Lytechinus pictus: one gene and its partners. The protein of the gene in region 1 purifies or fractionates together with the protein of each later gene. This does not show direct contact. Links are inferred from orthologs where the notes say so. Each region holds a gene or a part of one and is shown in the gene's direction. Other genes may lie near its edges.

Region 1 (7,901 bases):
CTAGAAGAGGGGAAGTTTTAGCATCAGGTGGTCGGTAAAAGCTTCCTATATGCAGAGTCTGACCTTGTAGGGTAGCCTGACACCATATTTGCTCGGATTCAGTATCTAAATCAGTTCTTTGAAAGCAAGGGATGGAGCTGTTAACGCAAATGAAGACACCTCCACCATGCGAATTCCTATCCTTTCTAAAAATTTGGAAATGAGCTGGGAAGATTTCGGCAGATTTAACAGTTTGATCTAGCCAGGATTCAGTACCAATGATTATATCAGGATTTACAGTTTCAATAAGCGAGGTAAGCATTGCAGTTTTTCCCCTTACACTGCGACAGTTAATGATGGCAATTTTTGTTGCATTTTTATCGCTCTTCATATTCCGATGAGCTTTATGGATAGTCCTACATATACTCCTAGATCTATTTGTTTCCAGTTGACGGTTGACATTTAGGCAAGAAAGTCTATTTGTTGGTGAAGTTCTATCAGTTGGAATGTTACTTTTTCCATTTTTTCCAACAATCGTCCAACTGTTGCTGGTTCTTGTAAGTTTCAGTGGAGTTACTCTTAGGTCTTTCTCACGGCGTCCAACTCCGACTTTAGAATCATTTAGGGGGCCTAGTCCTGAACTGGTACGAATTGGGCTTGATGATTTACTTTATTCCAGTGGTCATAACGTAGTTCAACGTCCTCGGTGCCCTCATTAAGGGACGTAAGACTTTCAAAGGAGTTAGACCCACTTAAGTTCAATATAGATTCTGTAGATTTATTAGAGTCAAGTGAAGAGTAAAAAAATGAGCTAGCAAAGTTCATCATATCACAAAGCGGGCATAGCCAAATGGCTGTTGGATTTTGGGCATGGAAATCAACAGTTCTATTTAATTATTAAATTGATATCTTATTTATAAATGCATAATGTGGGTGCGGAATTAATGCGAGTGCAAATCGCGAGCCAAAATTTTTGATAAACTGTCATATAACTAAACAATTATTGATGCGAGCGGAAAAATTCGAGATTTAGACCTAAAAATGGTACACTCTGTTCATGTTTTGTAAATCATGAAAAGGGTGACTAATAGGGGATCTTCCTACATTAATAATGCGAGCACAAAGCGCGAGCAGATGCACGCGCGTGTTTCAGATTTAATCCAAGAATCTAGGCATTCTAAATACATCTTTTATCATGAAAATCAAAGCGAGCGCGAAGCGCGAGCATAAAATATTTGATATTCCGATCTTAAAAAAGGGTCATTTTCAGCTCTATAGGCAAGCACTTTGTAGAAAAATTGTGAGGTGGATATGGATCGCACTTAATAAAGGGCTGATACTTTTCATCATTATTATTTTTTTTAGTTTTGACAAAGGACTGGGAAATCCTTAGGACATGTCATCATTTGAAAATGATGACTATTTTTCTATTCCTCTTGCTAAGCGCGAGATGAAACAAAAGGGACAATTTAATTATTAAATTGATATCTTATTTATAAATGCATAATGTGGGTGCGGAATTAATGCGAGTGCAAATCGCGAGCCAAAATTTTTGATAAACTGTCATGAAAAGGAGATTTTAAGTAGTTTGTTGTGTAATCAATATTGACACAAACATAAATCGCCAATCAAAATGCAAGCATGCAGCGCTAGCTGATACGTTTTGACAATCAGACCTGAAAAGGGATATTTTGAAAAACTTAATGGAATTCACGAAAATAATAAGTACCTGATAAATCAAAATTTGCGAGCGCACAGCGCGAGCAGAAAATTTTAATATTCAAATAACTGACATTTTTACATAGCACTTTATAAAAATCAATTTGTAAATCACACAAAATAATGAAAGTTCGATTTCCGAGGTGAAATATGTTTTGTATATTGACTTCCAAACTTGGTATTTAAGCTCAATATTGAACAAGTTAGTTATGTAAATCACCTAACAGGCAATGCGAGCGCGATGCGCCAGCGAAAATTTTGTATAGTGACATGAAAGATTCTTTTTATTTTTCCAAGTTTTCCCCTCATTTCAATATTTTTTAATTCACCCGTCTTCCTCTTCTTCTTTTTTCTCCGCTCTTTTCCTTTTTTCTTCTTTTTTCTTTCTTTTTTTCTTTTTTTCATTTTTTTCTTTTTTTTGCTCCGCCAATAGGGGGGGGGGGGGAGCCCGGGCCCCTCGGGCCCCCCTAGATCCGCCTATGTTTTAATTCATATCCCTTTCTCAATCATGTATCATGCTATTTCAGAATGGTTTATTCTTTCTCACATCTTCTTCTTTCGTTCCTTTTCCCGCTTTCCTTCCGTTTCCCATTTTTCTTTCTTCTTAGTTTTCTTTTCACTTTTACCCTTTGCCTTTTCCTCTTTCCTCTTTTCTCCCTTTAATTCCTTTCCCTTTACTATGTGCCCTTTCTTTCTCCTCCCTTTTCTATTTTCCCGTTTTTTCGCTTTCCCGGTGAAATCCACCGGGGGGGGGGGGGCAGCCTGCCCCTTCCCCCTTGCTTCCCCTATCCCTAAGGGGCGGATCCAGAATTTTCCAATGGGGGGGGGGGCAATTTTTTTCGGATTAAAATAAAGGATTAAAGGATATTTTGTACCCGAAAAAATTTGACGAGCCCCAAAAAAAGGTTTTCAGCAACAAATTAAGGGTATTTCGTACCAGAAAAAAAATTGAGAAGCAAAAAAAAAAGATATTCAATCAAAGGTCAAGTCCACCCCAGCAAAATGTTGATTTGAATAAATAGAGAAAATCAAACTAGCATAACACTGAAAATTTCATCAAAATCAGATGTAAAATAAGAAAGTTATGGCATTTTAAAGTTTCGCTTATTTTTCACAAAACAGTGATATGCACAACTCAGTGACATGCGAATGAGTCAGTCGATGATGTCCATCACTCACTATTTCTTTTGTTTTTTATTGTTTGAATTATACAATATTTCATTTTTTACAGATTTGACCATAGGGACCGACCTGACTGAATAATATAGTATTAAACAATGCTAATTCCACATGTTCATGGAGGAATTAATCATTCACTCTTAAAACCGATCAGTCAAATTGACTAGACCAGTAGTCAGCTGGGAGCAACTGATATGGCAATCACTGATAGTCACATTTCTGACATATATTCTAGTCAGAAATAACTCTATTCTAGTAAAATATGACTAGAAAATAGTCAAATATGACTAGAATAACAGTTGCACCCAGCTGACCCAATTAACCAGTCATTTTTGACTGATTTGTTTTTAGAGTGTTGTTTCACTGGACAATGAGGAGAAAATTAGAATGTTTCATATTTCATATAATACAATACAAAAGAAATAGTGAGTGGATGACGTCATCAGTCTCCTCATTTGCATACCAAACAGGATGTGTATATAAATATTTTGTGAAATTAAGCGAAACTTAAAATGTCATAACTTTCTTATTTTAAATCCAATTTTGATGAAATTTTCAGTGTTTTACTTGTTGGATTTTTCTCTTTTTATTCAAATCAATTTTTGTTGGAGTGGACTTGTCCTTTAAGGAATATAGGGGCACACCTATGTTTTAATGGCATTTTTACATTACAAATTTTAATTTTTGCTTCTCAAAGGGAGGGGGCACGTGCCCCCTGTGCCCCCTCCCCGGCTTAATCCACGCCTGCCCCCGGCACATTTGCTCATTTTAATGCTCGATTTCCAGACGATTCGCAGCTTTGATCGGTACGTAGGGGAAGGCGGGGTAAGTTGTGACACTTTTTGCATTTTGCATGTTAGATCTGATATGACTAATGATATTGTAGAAATAAGTACCTTGCATGCCTTTTAATTTGATTATTTGGAAATATTTTTCACCTATATATAACTCTCTACCCCCACACTAAAAGACACTCTGACCTTTGAAAAAAACGATGTCAAATGGCTCAACTTTTCCCATCTGTGGGGTAAGTTGTGCCACCTTCTGGGGTAAGTTGAGCCACAAAAACTATGTACAAATTGTATGCGAACCCGCACGTCAATTTATTATTTAAAGTCTTTTCACTTGCTATATCTATAAATACTAACATCCTCTAAAAGTAAAAGAACTGTCATGTGAATTTGCTCCTTTCTGCCTGCATATCAATGGCTTTTTAAGGTTTTTGTTTAATCATTTGATTATACATTACCATACGAATTACCATTGCTCAACTTGCCCCATTTTGGCTGGCTGAAATTACCCCAGTCGGAACTTAATGCGATATTTTCACATCCACACATTTCTTATGCATCCATCATGTAAAAGACTATGACAAGAATGAGAATCCATACCTGGACTAACAATCTTGTTCTTATTTCTTTATTATACAGTTGTACTTAAAGACGTGTGTGGGTAAAAAGCAGTGATCTATTTCACACCATTTTTTACTTTTTTGGCTGAAATTTGTATTTTTCCCTCTAAAAAAGTACTTTTTGTTTCAAAGTTGAAAACAATGTGGTGGGGTTAAGAGTTATGTAATGGTTATCAATACATGACACCACCACAATGTCTGACTCATCTATTATTGGCCTGGAGGTCAGGGGCGGATCCAGCTTTTTATAAAGGGGGGGGTTGGGGTGGTATGCGAGGGAGCGTAGCGACCGAGTCCAAGCGAGCGGAGCGAGCGAGGGGGGAGGGTGTGGGAGGGGGTGTCCCCCCTCCCACAGTAGGGAAAATTTTTGAAAATCTGTGTGTGAAAATGGAATTACAAGTTAAAAAAAAAAGATAAGATTTAAAAAAATGGTCCCCGGATTTTTTTTTTTTTTTTTTTTTTGGGGGGGGGGGGGTTGCAACCCCCCCTTTAGATCCGCTTCTGGGAGGTGGTGGCTCAACTTGCCCCTATGCTCAACTTACCCCGCCTTCCCCTACGCTACGGTTGCCCCAATTTTTCATTTTGATCGTGATCGAAGACACCATATCAAATGGTAAACATAATGGTCTCGCGTGCAAATGTCTTGTGCCGACGGAGAAGATCATTCATGAAATTAAGTTTTTCTTCAACGTTTTAGGTTTTTGTGATCTTTGAATAAGGTCAGTAAGTCAACCATGCTGACTTCCAGGAGTTTTGTGAAGAAGACTCGGAAAGGAGGAGTGATGAAGGTTGTGAGGGAGCACTATCTGAGGGACGATATTTGGTGTGGATCCGCTGTTTGTTCCAAATGCTCAATGGATAAGCCGGTCTTGGAGAAGGAGCCCGTGCCCGAAGTGGCAAACACGTTGTGCCGCTATCCTCATTATCTCCTTCTTGATACAAATGTAGTTTTGCATCAGGTGAGCTGTCCTCTTGAAAAGAATAGGATTTCATGATTGTGGGCAATTAATGGCTGCTCAATTAGTTGGCATGGTTGGAACATCAAAGATTTAATACTAGGGCCTAGCAAAAGAAAAGTAAAAAAAAAAAAAAAACACTGGTGAGTGGACAGTGGAGTGGTCACATGATTTATTCTTGGCTTGCTCGCAAAAGTTGCAATCAAATTTAAAATGTGGTCGTCCTTATCCTGAAATAAGTCACCTTTCTTCTCGTGTGTATCAGTGTGTGTGTGCGCTCGTTGTTTAGTAAAGTCAATGGGAGATGAAAAAAGTCGCCGCCACTGATGAACATGACAAAATAAACGGCAGTGAATGGAGTGGTGGATAATGCCGTATGGTCTGACGAAGACTGATAAATCTGCTGTTTTGGAGTAGTTTTTCAATATTTTCAGATTTTTTGGTCCTACACTACAAAGACGGATGACGGCCATTTGCATGATTAGCTAGGTTCGTAATGGTGGAGCAAACAACCTCCGCTTAATTACACTTACAGTACAGCGTCTGGAGAAACTAAGGCCAGGGTACACTTTTGCACCCTCTAGGCTCTATTACTCATAAATTTTGCTTTATGATGGGGGAAAAGGAAGAAATAATTAAGATGAATTGATATAAAATACAATCAGCTTACCACCTTTCTGAAAAATATGCTGGAAAATAGCAAATTTTGATGACAAACATATTTGGATCAGCCAGGTTCTTCTTTGATCGCCGTCAGCTACAGCTCATTCATATGCTCAGCTGTAGCTGTGCTGACGGCGATCGAAGAAGGGTGGGTGGGTGATACAAAGAGTATGATTCATCAATGTCATAATTTTTTCTTTAGGAAATTTGCACAATGTCCTTTGAATAGAATGAGAAGCATATTGAATTGTCAAGAAAACAGTGAATGTATGAATATGCATCATATCTGGAATTTTGAACAAACATGTATTTTAGATGTTGACGTTGCTGGCTTTCCATAGTTGTGGTTGATTGGATCAATCATAACTCTTTGTAAGACAGGGCCCAGAAGTACAACTCCCACATCACATTTGTATCTATACATGCACATTTCTCAAGGGTATTTTTTCTATCTTTCACAGGTGGATATACTGGAGGACAAAGCAATTAAAAATGTCATTCTCCTGCAGACAGTTCAGAATGAGGTATGGGCTAAATACAAATTTATTGATTAAATTATGTGTGTATTAATTATATAAAAAGAAGACTTGTGGTGAAGGTGTTTTCAAGATGGTATATTGTGATAAAGGGACTGCAAAGATGAGAATTTAGGGTAGTGATGCCACTAAATCTTACATAAGTGTAAAAAAATAAGTTCTCATTTGTAAGAAGCTTTTTATAGCTAAATATCTGAAAGTGCTTTCTGAAATCGCATTGATTTTTAGATGCCTATTTTATTAGGTTTTGTCTTACACTGTTGTATTGGTAGTTCATCTTGTCACTGGGAGATAAATGAGTTTTCTGTTCAATTCAAGACTGCTTTTTAATCACATTAATTGTGATAAAATGCGCCAGTCTTAATACTAAATAAAATGTCACTTTCTATTTTCAGGTCAAACACAGAAGTTTGCCATCGTACAAAAGGATACGAGATCTCATTGCAAATGACAAAAAAAAGTTCTATGTATTCACAAATGAACACCACAGGTGAGGATATGACTTCACTTTGATTTATCATCATTTATGGTCAATGTTGTGGATCTTACAATTAACATTATGTTTTTAAAATATTTTCAAAGTCAGAGAGATAAATGCCCATACCGTAATACAGAATTTTTCCATGTGACTATAATGCTGGATACAAGTATTATATTTATCATCATTTTGGTATCCTAAGTAAACATTTTCCTTACTCTTATTAAAGAGAAAGGTTTATCGATAGGCTTATGCCATGTACCTCCTCTGCACGATAGTGTGCTTGATAAGTGTATACATGTAGCACATGTATTTTTATTATTAAAGAAGGTCAAGGCAGTGGCATAACATGGCTTTGAAATAAATCAGGTCAAGTTGTTTTTGCCAGGTTATGATCAGGCAGAAGTATTACAACACTGGTATTATAAAATTTTCTGTTGCCCACAGGCCTGGCTGCCCATGTTTTTACTTAGTGGGCATTAGGGACTAGCTATCATGAAACTTGTTACCAAAATGAAATACCATAAATTAGTAATGAATATCTTCTTAGCCATTTAATTAACTTGGCGAGATTGCTTTAGCTTATTGTAGTGGCAAGTTGCCATCGATAACAAGCTTTATTAAACATGACCAGTCCAGTATAGTGTTTCATGGAGCTTCTTTTGAATGATTTCACTGACAGACTATGCAGAGCCAATCAGATGCAAGGATTTCAGTAGCTTATAACATTTTCAGTGGAAATTGCTGGCTTCATGTATTAGTTTCATGAAATGCTCCCTGGAGCGCCAGTTTGGAGATCACAACTCATCCTTTATCATTATTTTCTTTTCCTCAGAGAGACATATATTGAGATCGAACCAAAGGAATCTCCTAATGACTTCAACGATAGAGCAATACGGAAGAGCCTTACTTGGTATGATAATCACTTCAAAGACACTAAGATCAAGATTGTCCTACTCACCAATGATGTTGATAATAGA
Region 2 (7,657 bases), on another chromosome or scaffold:
TGTCGAAATAATTATGTAACATCTTCATCGCTAAGTGCAAGCAGTCATTAACAGGTCCTTAACGATCAGTTCAAATTGTATATAAACATTTTCTGCTCACGTTTTGCGCTTGCATTATTACTGTAAGGAAGATCCCAATTACTCATCTTTTTTATGATTTACAAAACATGAATACAGATTCTCGTGCTTAGGTCTTAATCTCGAAATTTTCCGCTCACGCTTCACGCTCGCATCAATTATTTAGTTTTATACCTATCCTGTTTGAGTATACAAAAAGTGCATAGAATTTCCATTCTTTAGGTAGAAATGTCGAAAAAAAAATCAGCTCGCGCTTCGCGTTCGCATTATTTGATTGTTTAAATATGTAACGTCTTCATTGCTAACTGCAATACCTCTTCGATCAGTTCAAAACGTGTATTAAAAATTTCTGCAAACGCGTCGCGTTCGTAGTAATTATTTAGTTGCATACATTTTTTTCAGGATAGCAAACATTGCCCATAATGTTCAAATTTTAGGACAAAATATATATAATTTACAAAAAAAATAAATCGCACTTCGCGCTTGCATTATATAAATACGCATTATGATATTATATATTTATGTTGATTTATGAGAATAAAGTTAAGAAGTGACTATTAGGACTACCCCTGTAAAGAAACAAACAAAAATCATCTTCGAGCGGCCGATCGGGGAAAATATGGCTGAAAAAAAATCCGCCCCCCACCCTATTGGCGAAGGCTGGATCTGCCCCTGAACATGTACTAAGATAGTGGCCAAGAAGAGAGTGCCTCCAGGGTTACTTTAAATGTACGCAACGAGTTAAATGATCGATAATAACAAACTTAAATCTGTTCATGATATAGACGATAATGAGGCTACCAATATTATTTGAAGATTATGTCTTTTACCGCTTCAGATAGACCTACTGTCTCCCGGGATTACCTTATTGATAAATGTTCAAAATCAATCAATCTTGTGGATGGCAAAGTTCCTTAATTACCGAAAGAAAATGTGTTTTTGCGTATTAATGTCAGGGGTATTGTCAATAAAATCGAGTCACTTCGTTATATTTTGTCAAACAATTCCATTGATGTTCTCTGCGTTAATAAAACCTTTTGTGATGATTCAATATCTGATGATGAGATTTATCTCGATGGTTGAGGGTTGAACGCAAGGATAGAACACGCCACGGTGGAGGAGTAGTAGTGTATGTATCTGTTAAGATATTTTTTATACACGAAGGTATGACCTTGAAAACCAAGATTTAGAAATGACATGTCTTCATATCACTTTATCTTTTCAGAAAAGTATTTTGGTCATTATATAGACCCCCGTCAAGCGATGTTTCTTTTTTTTGACAGTTTTGAACAAAGTTTGGAATCAATTTTCTCGTACAATACTTCAATTGACGAGGTACTCATTTTAGGAGATCTAAATTGTGATTACAGTCAATATTGAAGGATTTGTACCTGTATCATAAATTAGAATATTTGATGAGCTCGTACAATTTCGTTCAGTTAATTGAAACCTTTACACGTGTCACAAGTAATTATTCTACAATCATTTATCTCGCTTTTACAACTCGCTCTTTAAGAGTAATCTAGCGTGGTTGCATTTTCACATCTGTTAGTGATCATTATATGATTTATTTAATACGTAAATTTACTAAATTACATTCTAGCTTCTATAACCAATATTTTTTTCCTAAAACGATAACTTACCGTCCAAAAAGATGCTGTCGAAGATCAATTATATACTCTTCTTGATTCAGCGCAATGGCATAAATTAAAGGATATTTGTGATGTTAATGAATTTTGGAGAACATGGAAAACAATTTTTATTCATGTTTTGGACAAAGTCGCTCCTAAGAAGTCGGTAAAAGTTAAAAATCAGTCACTCCCATTGATTTCTGCTGACATTAGAAAAATGATAAGGGAACGTGACAATGTTCATTGTAAATTTTGGAAAATGAAAAATAAGATAAAATCTAAAGCTTTTATCGTTTCTTCTATAACGAGGTAACCCGGGGTTGATTAATTTGTCTTTTGCATCCGGTGTTTTCCCGATGACTGGAAGTATGCTAAGGGTTTTCCCATTATTTAAAAAAGGTGACTTTTATTATGTTTGCAATTTTCGACCAATTTCTATTTTACCGACTGTAAGCAAGATCTTTGAAAAAAAATTGTCCATTAGCAGTAACTTATGTGACTATTTGATTTCCATTAATATTCTTAGCATAGCACATTTCGGTTTTCGACCGGGCCATTCTACAGCTTTGGCTTTTGGTTCTTTTAACTGATGATTGGTTAAATGCTATAGACAGAGGTGCCTTACAGGAGCGCTTTTCATTGATTTAAGACGTGCTTTTGATAGTGTTAATGATTTTATTGAATAAATTAAAGAATATTGGTTTAAGTGATTTGTCTTTAGCATGGTTTGATTCGTATTTAGATAACAGAAAACGATATGTTGCGATAAAAATGCTAAATCAAATGATCGATGTATTTCCCTTGGAGTTCCACAGGGATCTATATTAGGTCCGTTACTTTTTTTGATTTACATTGATGATGTGTTAAAAGTTTTGAATCATGGAAAGTTATAAATGTACGCTGATGATCCTATATGTAAGTGCTATACGTCTATTTATGAAATACAAGTAAAACTTCAGAATAATGTTGATGCTATCGCTAAGTGGATCAAGTTAAACATGTGAAATAAGCTATGTTTAAATGATGATAAAACCAAATATATGATCATTGGAAGTAAAAATAAAACTTAAGGTATTAAAAGATAGACAAGTGCAATTTCTATGAAGTATGAAAGTATTGAAATTGAAATGTGTAATAGTTTTAAATGTCTTGGTGTTATTATTGATGATAATTTGTTATGGTGCAATCATGTTGACTATGTATGTAGACAAGTGTTTGTAGGACTTGCCATGCTCAGAAGAGTCAAGCCATAATTATGTTGATGAAGCTTCAATGAAATTATTATACAGTGCGTCCCACAAAAAACAAAACCGAGATTTATCGATGATTTATCATAACTTAATCGCAAATACAATAGACAAATGACTGACCTACCATTTTAAAGCTTAGAATCTCTTCTTTCATCTGAAATTACTTAGATTATTTCTCATTCACGCATGAGTGAGCAAAAACAATTTGAAAAGGGGATACCAAAAAGTCACTTGGCGGGCCGTATCTGGTTTTTCAAAAGAAAACCTTATTTTTTAAAAGTTCAATATCTGTTCTTTAATTTGATACCTCAATTACAGAAAATGGTCAAGAAATAACAAAGTTCTGGTTATTTGAAATAAGGCTTGACTTTCAATAATTTCATAAAATGAAGAGGTTTTACAGGCAAGCGTTCAAACTCACTCGACACTCCGTTTTGTTAACGATCAGCCATGCATTAAGTCTTTTGTTACCGTGCGATAGCTTCTGTGGGAAACCGGTGAAAACACGTTTATTTAATGAAATTATGGAAATACAAGCATTGTTTCGAGGGATCATAACTTTTTTACTACCTGACAATTTTCTGTGATTTAGGTATCAAAGAAAAGAGAAGATATTGAAATTTTTAGTCATGTGATTTTCTTTTTGAAATTCAGATACCCCCCGCCAAATGAGTTTTGGCATCCTTTCTTCGAATTGTTTTTGCCTAATCATGCGTGAATGAGGAATAATCTAAGTAATACCAGATGAAAGAGGAGATTCTAAGCTTTACATTGGTAGGTCATTTGTCTATTTTATTTATGCTTAAGTTATGATAAATCATCGCTAAATCTCGGTTTCGTTTTTTTCTGGGACGCACTGTATGTATGTCTCATTCAAACACAAATTGATTACTCTTGTGAAATGTGAGGGAATAGATGTTTAGGTCAAATTGAAAAGTTGACTAAATTGCAAAAGAGGGCAGCAAGACTTATTTTAAACTGTAATATATACACTCCCTCTAATTAAATGTTTACTCGTTTAAGCTGGATGCCTTTTAATAAAAAAGTAGAATATTACTGTACATAATGCTGTCACTTATACGTCTGTATATTAACAATATGAACTGATGATTGCATATGTATTATCACAATTACTTGTTTTTAATTGTATATAGTTGATTTTTTTGTTATCCAGGGTCTCATGGAAGATCAACTGTTGTTGAATGAGCTACCCTGGTGAAATATGAATAAATAAATAAATAAAAATATTAAAGTATACAAGCATATCATTTTCACCATTGACCCGAGAATTGATTAGGATCTCCCCCGGCCCCGAAAAAATGAAAACCTGAAGTGAAATTGCATGAGTGTCAAATAATTCACGAATAAATTTGTATATTTTGTCCATAGCAATTAAAAAACAATTATTGTAGATTTTTTTTCACACCCAATGTGCCTGTCAAGTCAACCGCGACGACGGCCGAGGGGCCGAAATCAGAAGGGGGGCATCATGCCCCCCATGCCCCCCATGCCCCCACGGTCCTTCGATCTCAAATAACCAAACATAAAATAAAGTATTGAGACAGGGAAAAGTGGCTATACCCTATAAGGACTATTTCTGTGAAATATCAGCACAAAATAAAGGAATCATTCAATTAAATTTAAAACCCGAGCGAAAAATTATAGCGCCATCCTTGATCTAACAGTAACAGTTACTTAGACAGGATTCAAGATGGCAGCCCACAGTGAACACCAACGAGATGTGGACCATGAGGAAATTAAAAAGTTTAGGGATCATCATCGAATCTGTATTCCTGGTAAGATGATAAATAGAAATGTGTGAATATGAGGGATTACTATATTGTTGATATTTTTGAAAGTATTTGTGAAACTATGTCTAGACTCTAGTCTAAGTCTGACTTGAGTTGGAACTAAATTGTGCCTGCCCCACCTATATAGTTTCGTGTTGGTTTATGTCCTAGGCCTGTTACTGTTATTTGTTAATAGGCACTTCACTCGGGTGAGCGATCGTGCGGACAGAGCGCTAGATGTAGATTTTTGCATTGCAGTGAATGGCGAGCGCATGTCTAACACACACAGTTTGCTCCGCTCGGCACGTCTTCGGCCGAGTGCTAGACTCCCTAGAGCTGAGTTGCATTTGGAATTGCTCGAAAAAACAGACTACAGAGTCGGTTTCTTCCTTTATTCCGCTGATTTTGATTGGTCAAAAATTCCCGCGGTTGCTTCGTACATCTTCGGTAAACATCGGAAATATACAACAAGGAGTTTCAGTATGCCCATGCTGTGTGGAACCCCGTACTGAAGAAACATATACATGCATTAGAATAGAGAACGTACAAAGAAGGGCAACAAAATTAGTCCCAGAATTAAGGAAGCTTTCCTATCCACAACGATTTAAACAGTTAAAAATCCCAACTCTGGCGTATCGAAGAGTTAGGGGTGACATGATTGAAACATAAACACTTTAATAATTATGATCTATGTAGAAAACTTAATTTAGAAGAAAAATATAGTGAACATACCAGAGGTCACAGTGAAAAACTGTTCATACCAAGGACAAAGACCCGGAAATATAGGAATTCTTTTTATGTTAGAATACGTAAGACATGGAATAGCCTAAATAATGAAGTTGTCAATGCCCCAAGTGTGCACAGTTTTGAAGCTGCCCTGGATAGATGCTGGAAAAATGAGCCAATAAAATATGACTACGAAAGCCCTGTTCCCGGAAGTGAGCCAGCCATCTTGAGGAGGAAAAACCTAGAACTGTCTGAATACAGAGGCATAACATGCCTACATTCAGAAACTTCCCTAGGTATCCCTAGGTACTTACCTTCTTGCGAGGGAAGGACCTAATATTAAGGTATTTATTTTTCTTTGCTTGAAATCGCCTTCTTGTAATCATGAGATCTCATGTAAACTCGGTCAGTAATGAAATTATATATTTGAGAACATTTTGTTAAATTTTAATCAAATTTGGTCCGTAGAGAGCCAGCGGTGAGTGTTGTAAGGTGTTTGTGAATCTGACTCGGCCGATCGAGCAGGGTTGTTTTGAGCGTATACAAACAGCTGTGAGTGACGTCATCCCCGCTGCGATGGGCTCGAGTTTAGTCTGGGTATTCAGACACAGTATGTTTCAGCCGTTGTATATTTTTTAATTACGATTTGAGCTCTGTTCATTTTGAACTTTAAATTGTTATTTTGAAAATAATTTTGTAGAATTTGTGCGAAATAAGTATTAAGAACAAAACTGCAAGTAAACTTCAAGAATTTTGTTTGATTATTGATTTTTTTGTTAGAATGTGTCTGAATGTCTAGAATATGGTATTGTTAATCGAAGTCGTATTTTTGAATGGCACAAAAAGCTCCTTTCATGAATTTGATTTAGAAATAGGTCTACATGTATGAGATATGTTTCATGAATTTAATATCTGATTATGGACCTTGTTATGGTGTTAATTACTATTTTGAAGATATTATGAAATGAGATAAGACAATAATGATGAGACATTAATAATAATGTCTTAATGAGACAATAATGATGAAATTATTGAGACCATAATGATTATTATTTTGATAATTATAACAAATTAACAATTATAATTATAATAATTCTAATTGTAATAAGTATTGAGACAATAATATTAATGAGACATCAATAATAATAATTATTATAAAAATAATTATAATTATAGGCCTAATAATTATTGAGACAATATTATTATTACAATATTAATAATAATATTAGAAGATGATTATGATAACAATTATGATTATAATGATAATTATAATTGTAATAATTATTGAGACAATAATAATTATTATTACAATAATATTTAAAATATTGAATAAATATTATTATATTTAATGAATATTAATATTACAATTTATTATTATTGTAATAATAATAATTATTATGATTACAATGATAATTATTATAAAATAATTATAATGATAACAATTATAATTGTTATGATAGTATTATAATTGTAATAATTATTGAGACAATAATATTAATGAGATATCAATAATAATCAATATTATAAAAATAATTGTAATGATAACAATTATGATAGTAATAATAATTGTAATAATAATTGAGACAATGATATTAATGAGACAATGATAATTATCATAATGATAATAATAATTATGATTATAATTATAATAATAATTTTGCCAACAATAATGAAACAATGATAATGAGACAATAATAATATTGAGACCACAATAACAATAATGAAATAATATACAATTCAATTCAATTTATTTCCACTTTAAAAAGCAACAATATATACAAATCAATAAAATGTTTAATACATATTAGTATAGTGGGGCATCATAAAAAGCACAAATGATGGCTTATTAAAAATGACCCCTTGCAAACAAAGATAAAATAACACAAATGACAACAATGTATAATACAAAATAAAGGAGGGAAAGAACAAAGATTGAAATCATTCTTTCTTTATTTTTTTTCCTAAAAATTCTGAGATTATTATGTTAATTCTCTTTCTTTTATTTCGAATTATATTCATTGAAAATTTAATTTCTAATGTTCAAGCAAAAGAAATCCATATCAAGTCATTTTTACCCTGTGCACAAACCTACCACAGGACAATTACCCCGAAATAGGGTTAGGTGTAGAATTTTGGATATAGGGTTACAGTGTAGTTGTCCGCGGGGGGGGGGGGGGGGGTA
Region 3 (7,773 bases), on another chromosome or scaffold:
CATTATTGTTATCAGAACTCATTCAAACATTTCTAAAAATCTATTGAAGGGTAGCAATTTTGATTAGTAAGATGGTACCTTAGGCCTACCTATCAAATGCTAATAAAAAGAATCGATGCTGGTCCTATTTCAGATAGAGTTGCTTTAATCTCCATCAAACAAAAAAGGTCCTCACTTTCAAAAGGGGGGGGGGGGGAGCAAACTTGTGTTAGAACGGCCAATTTACATTACAGATTTTGATTATGCATCTCAAAAGGAGGGGGGGGGCACAGGCCAGATGTGCCCCCCTGGATCTGCCAATGGTTTGGCCAACCTTTATAGAGTATCAAACCTTATTTCATGTTTTAAATTAAAAACCTTTGAACTTATGAACCATCAGTATATCAATAGGAAAAACAAACTTAACCAAATTAACTGTCAATCTAACCACCCCCCTTCCCCATTCTGTTAACTAATCCACTAACAATCTTAAACCATCATCAAAGAACACATAGCAGTTCCTGGAACAGTGCCTCTGCGTAGATCCTGACGATTCGGTAGAGGGTGTAGAAGTCTTGGGTACTGAAGATTGTGTCGGAAATGGCAAACGGGAGGGTGGAGGGTATAAAACCACGCCCATATTCAACCATCCAGGTGCCCGCGGTCCACTGGACGGAAGTGGCCTCACCCCAAGCATGGAGTAGTGTGACTCCTATCGTCAACCGAAAATGAAAAAAAATAAATGAGAGTCGGTTTGTTGATCTCAGACAAATGAAAGGTCTGTACTTCTTCACAATATCTATGCATTAGCTCTCTATTGCAAGATGATAATGAATTGTTGGGATATTTTTGTTGAAAACACGTTCCAAGAAAAATACCCTTTTTAATCATTACTATAGTTGATTATACCCTACCCCTCTCTATTCAACGTAAATGAAATCATTGAAGCTGTGAGTACAGTGCCTCTCAGAAAAAGAAAAGAAAACAGGATTCACCATTATCTTCCCACCTTAGCTTTTTAATGATAAAATGATATTTCATTCCTAATTTGCAATTTTTCTTCTTTATTTGGATAGGGGCCTACCTCATAATGTCATGATATGAAAGATGGACAAGAAGAGTTTGATGATTTAATGTTAGGATTAAGTTGCACCTAAAATAGTCAAGATGTGTCAAGTAAACAACAAAAGGGTTTTAAGGAGGAATAGTCAATAGCATTTCTCACTGTCCTTTGTTATGCTTCTTTCACGAATTCGCTGCATCAGAGTGAAGACCGGTTTACAAATGAGTTTCCGCACAAATCGTTCTTACATGGCTCAATTTTTAGTGTTTATAATGTGGTATACCTTGCATATAGGATTCCCTAAATATTCATCTTGATTTCAAATTTGTAATCAAAACATATTGATAATTGTAATATCTTTGAAAACAAGTTCCTTTTTTTCCTGGGACACACAAATTTTCCTGAACCTTCAACCACTTTGGATAATCAACACTGTCCTGTGAGGATGTTAGAATGATGGAGGCAGTAAATGTACAAATTTAATAAGAAAAATTGAAATACTAAGATTCAAAGAATGATGGTTCTTACCCGGTCCATACTCTTCACTCTCGGTTGTTCCTTCTTTCCACTGCCGAAAATTCCCACTTATGATCGTGTCAGAAACATTTGCCCAATATCGACCTGTGAATAAACAATAAATAGAGTGATATAGAAATTAATACCTTTTCCTTTTCACCCTAAAATGAAAAAAAAATGCATTTGCAATACTCTTGGTTGCTTTGATCTCGCACAAGTTTACATGTACTCATGCTTTTATAGAACAAGTAAAATATTCTCCTCCCCCTGGCAACCAATTCTGCAAATTGTCTGTTTTTGGATCCCCTCAAAAAAAAAAAAAAAAAACCTATTATCCATAAAAAAAGCACAATATGTTACTCTGATAGGAAACAATTTTCATTTTACAGTTTTTTGGGCCAAATTGGGACGATTGCTGAATTTGAAGACTTTCTATTTTTAAGGACTACTTTTTTTTCCTTTTAGCTCAACTAGCACTTATGCCGTAAAAGTCTTTCTCATTGTTCTGCTGTACGTAGAATCTTGATCTTCTAAATATTCTTGAATAATATTTTCTTGCAAATATATTGGGGCAACTTAAGAAAAGATGGTATTACACCCCAAAGCATTTCAGTTTGCAAATTTTAGGGGTTACTTTGGCTGTCATGAAAAAAAATCACTTGTCTTCCTAATGTATTTCCAATGCTTCTCTTAATAATAATAATAGCTGGATTTGTCAAGCCCCGTTTGCCTTAGGATACAAGCGCTGCTATTATTATCACGGCTTTGGCTAAACTGCCCATATAGGCGGTCTAGCTGAGCATTTGAGGAATTTCTTCCTACCGGGTACCCATTCACCTCACCTGGGTTGAGTGCAGTACAATGTGGGTAAATTTCTTGCAGAAGGAAAACATGCCATGGCTGGGATCGTACAGTACCCACGTCCCTCAGTATGAAAGACGAGAGTCATAACCACTCGACCACGAGGCCCCGACCTTACTACATCAGCAAGCTACCCTACCCAAGTATCAAACAAGCCTAATGATCAGCTTAAACGACTATCTTCTATTCCTCACCAGAATGACCGCCAGTATCCACCGCAGTGCCAAAGAACAGAATATACTCGGTGAGCGAGGCATGCACGAGACACATGGCCCCCATCCAGCCACCGGCATTCATGAAGATCCATTCCTCCCTCTCTTTGGGTAGGATGTGACCAGGGTATCTCTCCCGAAGAACCTCACCCACCTTGTCAAAGGCATCTTGGTGTGGAAGTCCTGTCAGAAAGAAATACAATTGTTATGTACATTTTTGATGAGTTAGAGTGAAGCAATTCAAATCCCCTGGGATACCCCCCCCCCACGAGAAGATTCCGCAACAAATATATACCCTAGGGCTATTCCATAAAATGATCAACCGTTTTGTACGTCTGACCCCCATTTTTCTCAAGTCTTACTTCACGTCATAAAATGACCAAGCCATGGCCCTTTGAGAACATTAACCTACAGACTGTCAAAAGAACAAGAAATGAGAGACAGAAAACTTCATGAAGGTCCCACATATAGGGGGTCGGATGTACATATTTTACGGAATTGCCCCCTAGTAGAATGCCTCTGGCGGTCTCACCTGCATCACACGATTCAATATAGCAGCAGCGCTGACTTTGAAAACTACTATAAAATAATTATTCACAAAAAAAACACTCATATAATGATACAATACTACGTTCATTGATATTTGACCTTGATCATGTGACCTAAAACTTGTAAATGATATTGACCCCATATATACATTTTATACACTATATAGATCTATGAACTTTGAAAGTTATGACAGCAATCTAATAATTACCTCAAAAATGGCCAAAGTTCAATGGCCTTAAATGACCTTTTGACTTTTGTCATGTGACCTGAAACTCGCATGAGATGTTCAGTGATAGATGACTCTAATGTCCAATTAAGTTTTATGAACTAGACCAATATACTTACAGAGTTGTGATGGTAATTCAACAAATACCCCCAACATGGCCAAAGTTGAATGACCTTAAATGACCTTGGTCATGTGACCTGAAACTCAGACGGGATGTTCAGTGATACTTGATTACTCTTATGTCCAAGTTATGAACTAGACCAATAAACTTTGTTATGATGGTAATTCAACAAATACCCCCAATTTGGCCAAAGTTCATTTACCCTAAATGACCTTTGACCTTAATCATGTGACCCGAAACTTGCACAGGATGTTCAGTGCTAGTTGGTTACTATTATGTCCAAGTTTAATGAATCAGATCCATAAACTTTCAAATTTATGATGGTAATTCAACAGATACCCCCAATTTGGCCAAAGTTCATTGACCCTAAATGACCTTTGACCTTGGTCATGTGACGTGAAACTCAAGCAGGACGTTCAGTAATACTTGATTAACCTTATGTCTAAGTTTCATGAACTAGGTCCATATATGTTCTAAGTTATGACATAATTTCAAAAACTTAACCTTATATAATTAGGTTAAGATTTTGATGTTGATTCCCCCAACATGGTCCAAGTTCATTGACCCTAAATTACCTTTGTCATGTGACCTGAAATTCAGGCAGGATGTTCAGTAATACTTGATTACCCTTATCCTTATGTCCAAGTTTCATGAGCTACATGTAGGTCCATATACTTTTTAAGTTAATAATGACATTTCAAAAACTTAACCTGGGTTAACATTTCAATGTTGACGACGTGACATGAAAAGCGGCGCCTCGTAGTCTCGCTCTGCTATGCAGGCGAGACAAAAAATGTTTTGAAAATAAAAAGATAGAAATTTCCCCCAATTTTGGAAACACCTATCCCCATGCAATAGACTATATATGCAAATTTAGTCTTCCCACAAAAGGGTTGCATGACTTGTCGAGTATTAGGCGCTCGAGGCTCTTGACTGTCTTGATCCGCAATTTACGAAATTCAGAGTTTCGTTCATGTACCAGGGGCCGCGGAACCGGGGGGGCTTCAGCCCCCCCACTTTTTTCCAAAAGTCAAAACCGTGTACAAAAACGTAAAAATGACCATAGGATTGTGATTTTTTGCATGGTCAGCCCCCCCACTTTGAAAACCGTTCCGCGGCCCCTGTGTACTTCGAGTACATGTATACGTCTACTGAATATAATTCCAGTCTTTCCATCATGACATAGACTAGTCTATGATGACAGTCACTAGTCAGGAGTAAATTAGTAGTAGTACAAATATTCAGTTCAAGAGCACAGACATTGTACACCCCCCCCCCAGCGCCTCCCGAGGCCCAGAGCTGGACTGCTGGAAATAAGTGGAATCATTTTGCCTTTTTAAGGCTTTAAATATTTTTCAGTTTGCTTTTGTTTTGGCTTTAATTAAAGTTTTGTTTTGGTTTTGTCTTGCCCATTTCATGCATTTGGGAGTAGAATTGCTGATTAGTTCTTACCAACAAATTTCTCTGCTATTCTTGCAATTGTCTGATCATCAGTTAGATACGATTTTGTCTTCAACCAGAGATGGGTTTCATTGATCAAGGCACCAAATAAAACCAGAATTGATATCTTTGACAATGACATTTTGCCTGTTCTGACTTCAACTTCCAACCAACTACTCGGTACTCCCAATTATAGTACACGTACATGCATGAAATCACGTGACAGTGTACTGGTATCAGGTGACCTAGTAAAGTAGTAAGCATTTAGGATGGAGATTTTTCTCCAAAATACCGATTACTCATTGCTATATTTGGAGAAAATACAGCTCACGAACTTTTTAAAGCTATAGATCTAGATGAATTGTTTACTGCCAAAAAAAAGAAAGAAGAATTTAATCGACGACTTTGACTTTAAGTTTATGTACAGTACCGTACATACAGTACAGAGAACTAGAGACGTCAGAGAAAGCTCCAACGATGCTCCCACGTGGTGTTTTGAAGATGGCGTCAGTCAAGCTGAGACTGATTGAGATGAGATCGAGACGAGTTTGAGCCACGATTTCCCAATCAAACTAACAAGAGATTTAACATTCGAAAGTTTTCAACCGTTTAAAAATGACTGAAAAGGCTGGAGACGAAATGATGGTCACGGATGTGCCAGGATTCACCAGTGTGAACGATTTTGCTCAGGTTTGTTGACACACTAATTCAGCGTGGAGCTGGGATGAGATTAACCCAGAGAGCTCCCGCCCGCGCAGCGGGCGCCCGCTGCGCGGGCGGGAGCTCTCTGGGTTAGGATGAGATGAAGCCTCGCACTCGCAGCGTTGCGGCTGGATGATGCTGCTGTGGCCGCTAGCGCTGCGCTGTACTGTAGCCGTCGCCGCCGGCTAGCGCGCTGGCCTGCCAGGCACCTGACAATGACATGCCGCACTGCCCGCGTCTAGAGTTTCTGTTTGTACTTTGAAAGCTAAAAAGTATGGCAAGTTCGTCTGCGCAGTCCTCCTTGTCTTCGCACACACGTATCTAGGGACAGTGATTTTCCGTTTAAAAAAATTGCCTTTTCCGTTTCAGAAAATCGTAAATTCCGTTTCACTTTCAGCATGTCAGAAAGCGGAAATTCCGTTTCCCCATAGACTTTGTGTACACGGAAAATTGGCTATTCCGTTTACCATTCAGGAGCAATATATCACTCGCGCTGGTCAAAATTTGTATCTGCCACTGTATGTACCAACAACGCAGTAGAATCCGCTCTAACCATGCTAACACTACAGTTAATCGGATCTAGTATGGGGTACACAAAATATTTTGACAAACATATTTGACATAAATACATCCTTACCTTTCAGTTTCACATTATTAGCATTATTTGTTAAATTAAATTTTATAGATAATTTTGGGGGGTTTTGGACATCGTTTCGACCAGTCAACGACTTTAGCCTATCCGCCATTTTGGATTTTAAGACCGGAATATTGTACTGTTACATCTTCAAACGTAGAGGGCAGCAACACATGACCGTGTTGTTTGCATGTGAATGTTTTCGATACGGCCGACCCCGCCGCCGGCCAAGACCCGGGAGAGGCCCGGGGGTTCGATCGAGAGTGATGGAGTCGAGAGCAGTCACGATGTGTGGATTGTCATACTTTGTAGTGAAGTGAGATCGTGTTTTGTGAGGTTTTGTAGCCATTTAATATTCGTATTTTGTTGAGATTTTGGGGTAATTACTGTTGCTATTCTGTGTATTCTGAGGAAAAATATGTTTTCCGTGATTTTCCGTTTGAAATGCCACTTTCCGTTTCAAAAGGCAATATCCGTGAATTCCGTCCGTTTTCCGCGATCGCGGAAAATCACTGTCCCTACGTATCTGCGCGATTCTACATGTAGTACGCGATGACCACAGACTTTACACAGTATTTGGAAAGATATTCATTAAAAAATTCGACTCAAAATTACGAAAAAATAATGAATTTTGGGCATTTCATGTGATGGCCTCAAAAAGCAGCCTTTTTCATCAAAATCCCCAAATTGCGTGCAAAGTGAATGGGTGCGTAGACATGGGGTACCAATTTTTTGTTCAATCTGAAAATGACTGCCTAATGTTTTTTCCAAGAAGATCATGTATTTCTGTCTAATTTTTATGAGATATTTGGTTTACTTATATTAATAGGGATGCCACCCCAAAAATTGAAATTTGAAGTGTTGTAATTCTAGTTTTAAATAGTTTAACTGGAATAAGCTCTGAAACACGAGTAAAATGACACCAAGATCATCAAAATTGGACGAGGGCCGGGGGGTTGCCGAGATATGGCCAATTCAAATTTTGAAAAAAGGCATATTTTCTGCCAAAAAGTGGCCAAAATGGCAAAAATGTGTTTTTTTTTTTTTAAAGCTACCTCTTTTAAAACTTGATGAAGTATAGCTAGGACCTAGGTTGCTTTTCCTTGGGGCACCTAACATGTTAACAACCAACAAGTACCTGAAAAATTGGGTCCGAACTACTTTTCGTTTTCATATTAACGGAGTTCAAAATATGTTGAAAACACAAATTTTCACCTTTGGACCCAGAGGAAATTGGCAAAAAATGACTAATAGTAATCAAGTATCACTGAACATCCTGTGCAAGTTTCAGGTCACATGATTAAGGTAAAAGGTAATTTAGGGTCAATGATCTTTGGCCAAATTGGGGTATTTGTTGAATTACCATCATAACTTTGAAAGTATATTGGTCTAGTTCATAAAACTTGGACATAAGAGTAATCAAGTATCACTGAACATCCTGTGTGCATTTCAGGTCACATGACCAAGGTC
Region 4 (7,600 bases), on another chromosome or scaffold:
TATTTTATTTCAAGTTTTGTCTATTTTGTCTTGATATATGAGACTAGTTCAGTCCCATACGCTGATTTTTCTGTTTGTAATTTTCTCTAGCTCACACTCTGGCATAGACAGCTGGCAGCCGTCTGTTTCGAGGAGTTTTTTAACATTTTTTTATTTTTTAAGTTTCTCCTCATACACAGACGGCTCGCTATTGTGCAGCCACCATTAGGGGACTTACAATGCAAAATCCCCCTGTCGGGGCTCTTCAATTTTTGTCTTTAAAAAATAAAAGTTTAATGAATCAAACTTTTGTTATGAACACTCCTAGTACCAATGAGGTCCAACATTACATGTATGGACCTCATAGGCGACATCAGTAGTATTTTGTGTCAGAAATCTTTGTGAAGATGATTATTTTTGTATTTTATCAAAACTACAAGCTATCGTACTGTCTAATCATTACATTTCGATCTCACTAATTGAATACATTGTTAGCAATAAAAAAAATTGAAAGAAATGAAGGGGAACTTACATTTTCACGGCTTTTTCCTGATTTTCTGGGCAACTGCTCCTCTCTTCTGACTCGCGATCGAAGCTGATATGAAGATCACGTGATTCGCGTTCTCGTCAGCTGATCGGTTGGTTATTCTTTTCGTCAGACGTTAATAATATATATTTTATAATGCTAGCATTCATCGCTAATTTAGGTGAAAGAGATTGAAGTTAAACAGCGCCAGGTCGGAATCATAATTATTTTGGAAGAGTGTATTTATACACTCGATCTCATACCTGACGTAGACGGCGCTATTCAACAAATGCACAATCTTCAATATAAAAATAAAACAGAAAGAACGCCTTGAACACAGGCCAAAATGCCGAACGATTTCTCCGCGGCATTAACAACTATCGTAAAGGGCGCTCCATTTATCAATAAAGATGGACGCTAAGCTGTCTATGGCGACAAAATTTGCCGCAAATATTTACGAAGAATTGTGAGAAATGGTCTGAAAATGCAACAAAAGAACCGGTGAGTACCGATTAAACATTATTAAATTTATAAATAGATTATACATACCTTGTAGATTTAGTTTTTAAGGTGATATTAGTGCTTAGTTCTAAGCTAGAGAGGCCCAAACGCGCGTGAGTGGAGTCCCAGTTTATTAGCACGGGTAAGTATTGGGGTGTCGCCTAGAGTGGTTATGAAAATTAACCCGACCGAAATGCAAATTAATATTCCCTCTTGGCATTAATTGCCAAAAAACGGGGAAAATCAAGTTAAAAGGAACAAAAACAGTGACTTACCTCGGCTGTCGCGCAACTTCACTGCCCTGTTTTATCCGAACTTAATACACATAAACATATGGCCATTGACGATTGAGTCCCCTGTACACACCACTCCTAGTACCAATGAGGTCCAAACATTAACATGTATGGACCTCATAGGCGACAATGCGTTAAAAACAGGTTAGAACTTCTAAACGTACTGTTTCCTGCACCCAAGTATGATATTACTCCCAAAATATGAGTTTTGTCCTCGTTTGTTTATCATTTATTAAAAGATTGCCCATTAAATATATTCCTATTCCTAATTTGAATTTAATAAAATAAAGGGAAACTTACATTTGAGTCATTTTTCGATCTTTTTTTGGCAGTCAGTCCGGTCACCGTCGAGTGCGATCAAAGCGGTATGAAGCTGATTTTCAGATCACGTGATACGTGTGGTCATCACCTGATCAATCGACTATCCTTTTTTAAAGACCGCAACAATTATAAATTTTATTATAAAATATATATAGAATGAATAATTGCATGATATTATATATATTTCTACAATTAAAAATATTTTGTGATATGAATTTAATATTTGACGTAAAAATCGCTATTTAACAAAATATTTATTAAAAATAAAAAATCAAACAAAATAAAAACGCCTTGGACACAGTGCAAAAAACCTAACAATTTGGCCGCGTTCTTAACAACTATCGTAAGGGGCGCTCTATTTATGAATAAAGTTGCATATGTAGTTGTCTATCGCGACAGGAACAGCCGCAGAATTGAAGCCAGAAGCGTGGGAAATTGCCAGAAAATTCAAGAAAAGAACCGGTGAGTACCGATTTAACAGTACTAATTTATTAAGTAACATTTATTGAATCATTACAAGATTTATTTTTTAGTAAAACAAAGCTTAGTTCTAAGCTAGGGCGGCCCAAATGCGCGTGAGTGGAGTCCCAGTTTATTAGCACGGGTAAGTATTGGGGTGTCGCCTAGAGTGGTACACACCTGGGGCCGATTGCACGAAAGGGTCTTTCCAAGGACCGTCTTTCGTGTCGCCCATCTTTTATGATGCGCTATAAGCGGGGTGTTTCTGAAATTTATGATAAACAAATAAAATTCGTAAGCTAGCTTTTAAATCAAATTTTATACAATTTCATGAGATATCAGTTTTTATCACATCATTTTATAAAAAAATATTTTTGTTTATTCTAACGGACAAATAAAATATATTTGCAGATAATTTATTTGAAATGCGTTTCACATGGCGTATCATAAAAGATGGGCGACACGAAAGACGGTCCTTGCAAAGACCCTTTCGTGCAATCGGCCCTTGTTCACTGCAACCATCCTGCCTGTGGGGAATCTACAGGTAGGACTATGGTATGCCAATGCTGTACATAGCACATACTTTAAAAAATCATTAAAATATCACTTTTGTTACCAAAATTACTAATTTCCATACAGTTGCAATTTATTTTTAATTAGTAACTTGGGAATAATTTTTGTGTTCACCAGAGCGCTCAAAAACTTGAATTTTTGGCATATTTTTGTGTGCGCCCTCTATAGGTGGAAAGTAATATGGCAAGAAATTTTTCATTTTTCAATCTCTATTTTTAATTAAGAAAAAATAATTTAAAGAATCAAATTTACATAAGAGCCAAGTTATATGAGGAATAGATGTATCGGAAACTGACAGTGTAAAAAAATCAAGCATTTGTCCCACAGAAAAAGAGAAAATAAGCCAAAATTGCCACCCTTATTTTGCCACACATGGAGATGTAACTGAGAACAAGGTTATATCATAACCTTGTTCATTGAATGAGTGCCTGTACAGATCGCGCTAGAAGTTCGGTCTCTGTATTTGGTGAGTGAAGCCAACGGCAACGGAGTTCAGCTGAACAACCAACATAACTAATGTTGTAAATCGGATCAAAAATCAGATCGAAAATTGGATCGGCAGTTAAGCTTCTAAAATCGAAATCGAATCGGCGATGTTTAAAAACAAAGGAATACATCAAAATTTTGTTCGCGGTCGCGCGCATCTTCCTGACAAAGTCACAAAGACGAATGTTTAGGAATGGAAGTCGTCGACATGCGCGATCGTTTGGAACATGCTTTTAAAGGAAAGGGTTTTGAGGTTTAACTGCTTTACAATAAAATGAGTGATTTTTATTAGAAAGATAAACGAATGACGCATCTTCCGAGCAAAGTCGCAAAGGAAAATAATTGTCGTAGATCACATGTCAATGAACGATCGGCGGGACATCTTTTATAAGTATTTTTATGTGAAGCTGAGCTCAGCTAAGTTCGCTCATTATGATGTGTGATTACAGCCACGCCCAATAACCATTCCAAAGTACACCCATTTTGTTATAATAGCTTACTTGGTACATCATTTCTCCGAATCAGTTCTGGGAAAAGTTAAGTCACGCCTCAGTATCAATCTTTTTGTATACCGGTACTCACCCACTCAACAATATCAGTGAATTACGCAATGCGCGCAAGCATTCACACAATACAAGATAGTTTTGAGGCATAGCCGAGAACTGGAACCGCCCAGACTCAACGGGCTAGTGCAAAATTCTTTACACTACCTTTTGGCATGTGCACGTGGTGGGTTTGATTGACACTGCTAACAGTGCTATTCTTTGAGTTGGCTCACTGGCTGGATTAATGACAATATATCACTGCAAGTATGGCTTACATGATACATAAAACACGCAACACATCCATACACACTGCTCTCAAACTCCCTTGCTATTATTCGTCCCTATAGGCCATGTGTGCACTTATGTGCGGGATTTAAGCATGGCATTGACTAGCATATACAACACATCCACGCACCCCAGCATTCATATACCATAGAGCTGTTAATAGCTCCATGCATATACATTTCTCAAACTCGCTTGCTATTCGTCCATTGTGTGAACTCATGGGCGGGATTATGACAAAAATTAGCGCAAGCACTAGGTACGTAATACATACAATACATTCCTGCACCCACGCGGTCACACAGATCTCAAACTCCCTTGTCATTCGTCCATTGTATTCACTCATGGGCGGGATTTATCAGCGTAAGCACTAGCATACATAATGCGCACAACACAAGCAGTCACACACAGCTCTCAAACTCCATTGCTATTGTCCATTGCATTCACTCATGGGCGGGATTTATCAGCGTAAGCACTAGCATACATAATGCATGTAATATTCATGCAGTCACACACAGCTCTCAAACTCCCTTGCTATTGGTCCATTGTATTCACTTATGGGCGGGATTTATCAGCATAAGCACTAGCATACATAATGCGTACAACACATTCATGCACCCATGCAGTCACATACAGCTCTCAAACTCCATTGCTATTGGCCATTGTGTGCACTCATGGGCGGGATAAATGACAAACACAGTACAAGTACATGTTCATTGTTTGTATTATACAATACATTCATTCCAAGTTCCACTCCCACCATACCAGTCAGCGCAGCTACCGGTAGGTCATCATAAGTAGGTCAACCTTTTATGAGTCATTTCTGACATTCCAGGAATCTCGATTGTTCGAAACTATTCGATAAAAAAGCTCTAAATAGCTAGCACCTCCGCAAGAACAATCTTATATATTATACATATGAATATGTTCTGACCGCACTGTAACTAGATCTACAGGTATGCCGATTTTTTATATCCGATTTTTTCCTTCAAGGGGCATGATCGAAGATCGGCAAGTGATCGCCGATTGTTGTGAAATCGAATGGAATCGGTTGCCGATTGCAAAATCGGTTACAAGCTTAAACATAACAGAGACCGAAGCTTTTGGTCTAACTCTGGCACAGCTAGCCTGGAGGCGTCTGGGGAGTAAAAGTCATCTACTCTACGTAGGCTTACTCCCCACTGATGCCTGGGTCGCCAAGGTATATTCACGCAATCGCGCAATTTGCATGCTGTCGCCAAGCGGAAGACAAAGAAATCAAGATGGCGACGTAAACACGGCCGTAAGCTCTTCCCATCTTTTCATAACATTTTTCTCGTTTTTTTAATGAATTCTTCTTTAAAAACGAAATCAATATTGCAGAAATGTTGGAAATGAAGTTGAACCCCATGTACATGTTTTAGGGCTAGATCTTTTAGAGGGAAAGTATAAATCTCGGGGGCGAAAGTTTCAGGTTTTGTGGCCGTACGTGCGTGAATATACCTTTGCGACCCAGGCGTCAGTGGGGAGTAAGCCTACGTAGAGTAGATGACTTTTACTCCCCAGACGCCTCCAGGCTAGGCACAGCTGCACAGTCTGCAATTCAATCACCTTGTTTGAACTGTGTTGACAGGAATGAGTCTGTAGTAGACTAATAAATCCGCTGTTTCGGAGGAGTTTTTCAACATTTTCTGATTTTTTTTGTCCTACACAGACGGACGACGGCTTGCCTGGATTCTGGAGCAATTTACCGCAAATAACCGTTGGTGTTGCTTAACTACTACTACTACTAGTACAGGGACTATGGAGAAAGGGAGCGCTTTTGCACTCCTCGATTACTCCTAAATTTTGCTTTTTGATGGGGGAAAAAAGAAGAAATCATAAAGATAAATTTATATCAAATATAATCAGCCTACCACCTTTTTGAAGAATAAGCTGGAAAATAGCGAAATTTGATGACAAACAGATCAGGATCAGCCAGGTTCTTCTTCAATCGCCATCAGCTACAGCTGAGCGAACGGATTGGCTGGCACTTCGTACACTCAGCTGTAGCTGAGCTGACGGCGATCGAGCTGTCAAAGAACCTGATCCTGATCATATTGTCATCGAAATTCGCTATATTCCGGCATATTTTTCAGCCACATATATGAATTTAGAAATTTTAGGATCTCTTACCCTCTTGGATGACCAATGCTAAATATTCATTTCACTTTGATATCAGCAAAGTTAATTTTTAGGATTTATTTTACCTCTTTTACCTTTAGGATGACCTGCGGTCGGATGGGAGGACATGCCTGTCTTATCGAAACTTTGAATTGGAATGTGGAGTAGTGTCCAACACAAGTGGATCTGCAAGATTGAAGCTTTCAAACACACAGGTATGTTTAACTGGTAAATTGCCAAATGGGCTATTCCTGCTTTGTGTACTTTCATCCTAAACTGGGTTCCAAAAGAAACTGATCAAACTTTACAAAGGCACTGCACAGATTCCACTCGGTCAAAATGAACAATATTTTTACATAGGCTACATTCAATAATCTTTACCAAGCACATGACAATAATTAAGAGATTGGCTCAATCACAGAGAGGCTGTAGCCCTTCACGTCAATTGGACACAAAGTCACAAAATGACAAAAGAAAGACAAATGGAAATGAGATGGAATTAAAAAAACTTCCCAGCTTATTACACATTTCTTCGTGGGCATGTTTTAGTGATTGGCTGAATCACAAAGACGCTACAGGAAGTTTACATCAAAATTTTAAATGACTGGATCAATCACACAGAGATCCCCGCAGGCTGTCCCAGTAAGCGGGGGGGGGGGGGGGGGGTAATCTGAACATGGTAAGTATCTTTGTTTGGCTGTGTGAGATACACACAGCTATCATGGTGTTATATTGTTCAATTGAATGAAATTAAATGGAATGAAGTATAATCTTTGTGCTCAGAGAATTGACCAAAATCATGCATAGTAACTGATGGCTCAAAGATTCAGTTGTACTTGAAAAACGCTTGTCTGTTAATTGTTTTAAGTAGAATTTCTATCAAAACATATGTTCGAAATTCCTACTAAATTTTCCAGGTTATTAAAATTGGCAATTTGAATAGCATGATAGTGTGATGCTGCATCATTATAAATGTATCAGAATTTTCCACCCTTTGCTCTCTTGGTGTTTTTTCTTATGCTTTCACCCACCATAGATGGGTGCTGGGGGCATTGTGTTTTCAAATACTGACAAGGTCAAAGGTGGCAAAGGTCATTATTTGAAAATTTCAGAAGTAAGATGCATTTTGAATTCTTGATCTTGCAAATAAAGAAGCATATTTGAATGCATGCAGTCAAAAATCCACCTAGATCCTTTATCTTTGGCGTTATACTTATGTTCCTCCCTATCTTTTTTATTTTGAACACTTTTTTTCTAAATTTGTCACTTTTTTTCTTAATGTGTTTTTAATTGGAAAGGTTTTAGTTGGTGTTAAAGCTGAAATGGGACCACCTAATCAATTAAATCCTTCCCGCGGCACAATAGAATTCTTTGTAGACTTCTCAGCCAACGCATCACCCAAATTTGCCGGGCGGGGCGGAGATGAGCTGGCAGGAGAGATATCCAACATGCTCGGGCTTGTCTACAAAAATGAAAAGGTAGGACAACAGCAT

The links.
Region 2: the proteins of exosome complex exonuclease RRP44-like (region 1) and exosome complex component CSL4-like purify together in Drosophila melanogaster (affinity purification with western blotting; 3 studies listed by BioGRID, with this or other methods). This does not show direct contact. The link is inferred for Lytechinus pictus from reciprocal best matches to the Drosophila melanogaster genes Dis3 and Csl4.
Region 3: the proteins of exosome complex exonuclease RRP44-like (region 1) and exosome complex component 10-like purify together in Drosophila melanogaster (affinity purification with western blotting; 3 studies listed by BioGRID, with this or other methods). This does not show direct contact. The link is inferred for Lytechinus pictus from reciprocal best matches to the Drosophila melanogaster genes Dis3 and Rrp6.
Region 4: the proteins of exosome complex exonuclease RRP44-like (region 1) and exosome complex exonuclease RRP42-like purify together in Drosophila melanogaster (affinity purification with western blotting; 3 studies listed by BioGRID, with this or other methods). This does not show direct contact. The link is inferred for Lytechinus pictus from reciprocal best matches to the Drosophila melanogaster genes Dis3 and Rrp42.

What each region holds. Positions count from the first base shown.
Region 1 is NC_087249.1:53,877,125-53,885,025, reverse strand, and holds the start of exosome complex exonuclease RRP44-like, read left to right. Parts: upstream 1-4,885; 5' UTR 4,886-5,022; coding exon 5,023-5,247; intron 5,248-6,368; coding exon 6,369-6,431; intron 6,432-6,838; coding exon 6,839-6,933; intron 6,934-7,756; coding exon 7,757-7,901.
Region 2 is NC_087256.1:31,514,509-31,522,165, forward strand, and holds the start of exosome complex component CSL4-like, read left to right. Parts: upstream 1-4,642; 5' UTR 4,643-4,670; coding exon 4,671-4,755; intron 4,756-7,657.
Region 3 is NC_087258.1:25,019,464-25,027,236, reverse strand, and holds the start of exosome complex component 10-like, read left to right. Parts: upstream 1-4,766; 5' UTR 4,767-4,979; coding exon of another isoform or gene 4,980-5,109; 5' UTR 5,110-5,582; coding exon 5,583-5,657; intron 5,658-7,773. Other genes in the region: sigma non-opioid intracellular receptor 1-like, read right to left, coding at 480-691, 1,571-1,663, 2,614-2,814, 4,980-5,109. UniProt on the Drosophila melanogaster protein: Catalytic component of the RNA exosome complex which has 3'->5' exoribonuclease activity and participates in a multitude of cellular RNA processing and degradation events.
Region 4 is NC_087246.1:61,517,013-61,524,612, forward strand, and holds the start of exosome complex exonuclease RRP42-like, read left to right. Parts: upstream 1-4,599; 5' UTR 4,600-4,652; coding exon 4,653-4,748; intron 4,749-6,208; coding exon 6,209-6,322; intron 6,323-7,405; coding exon 7,406-7,585; intron 7,586-7,600.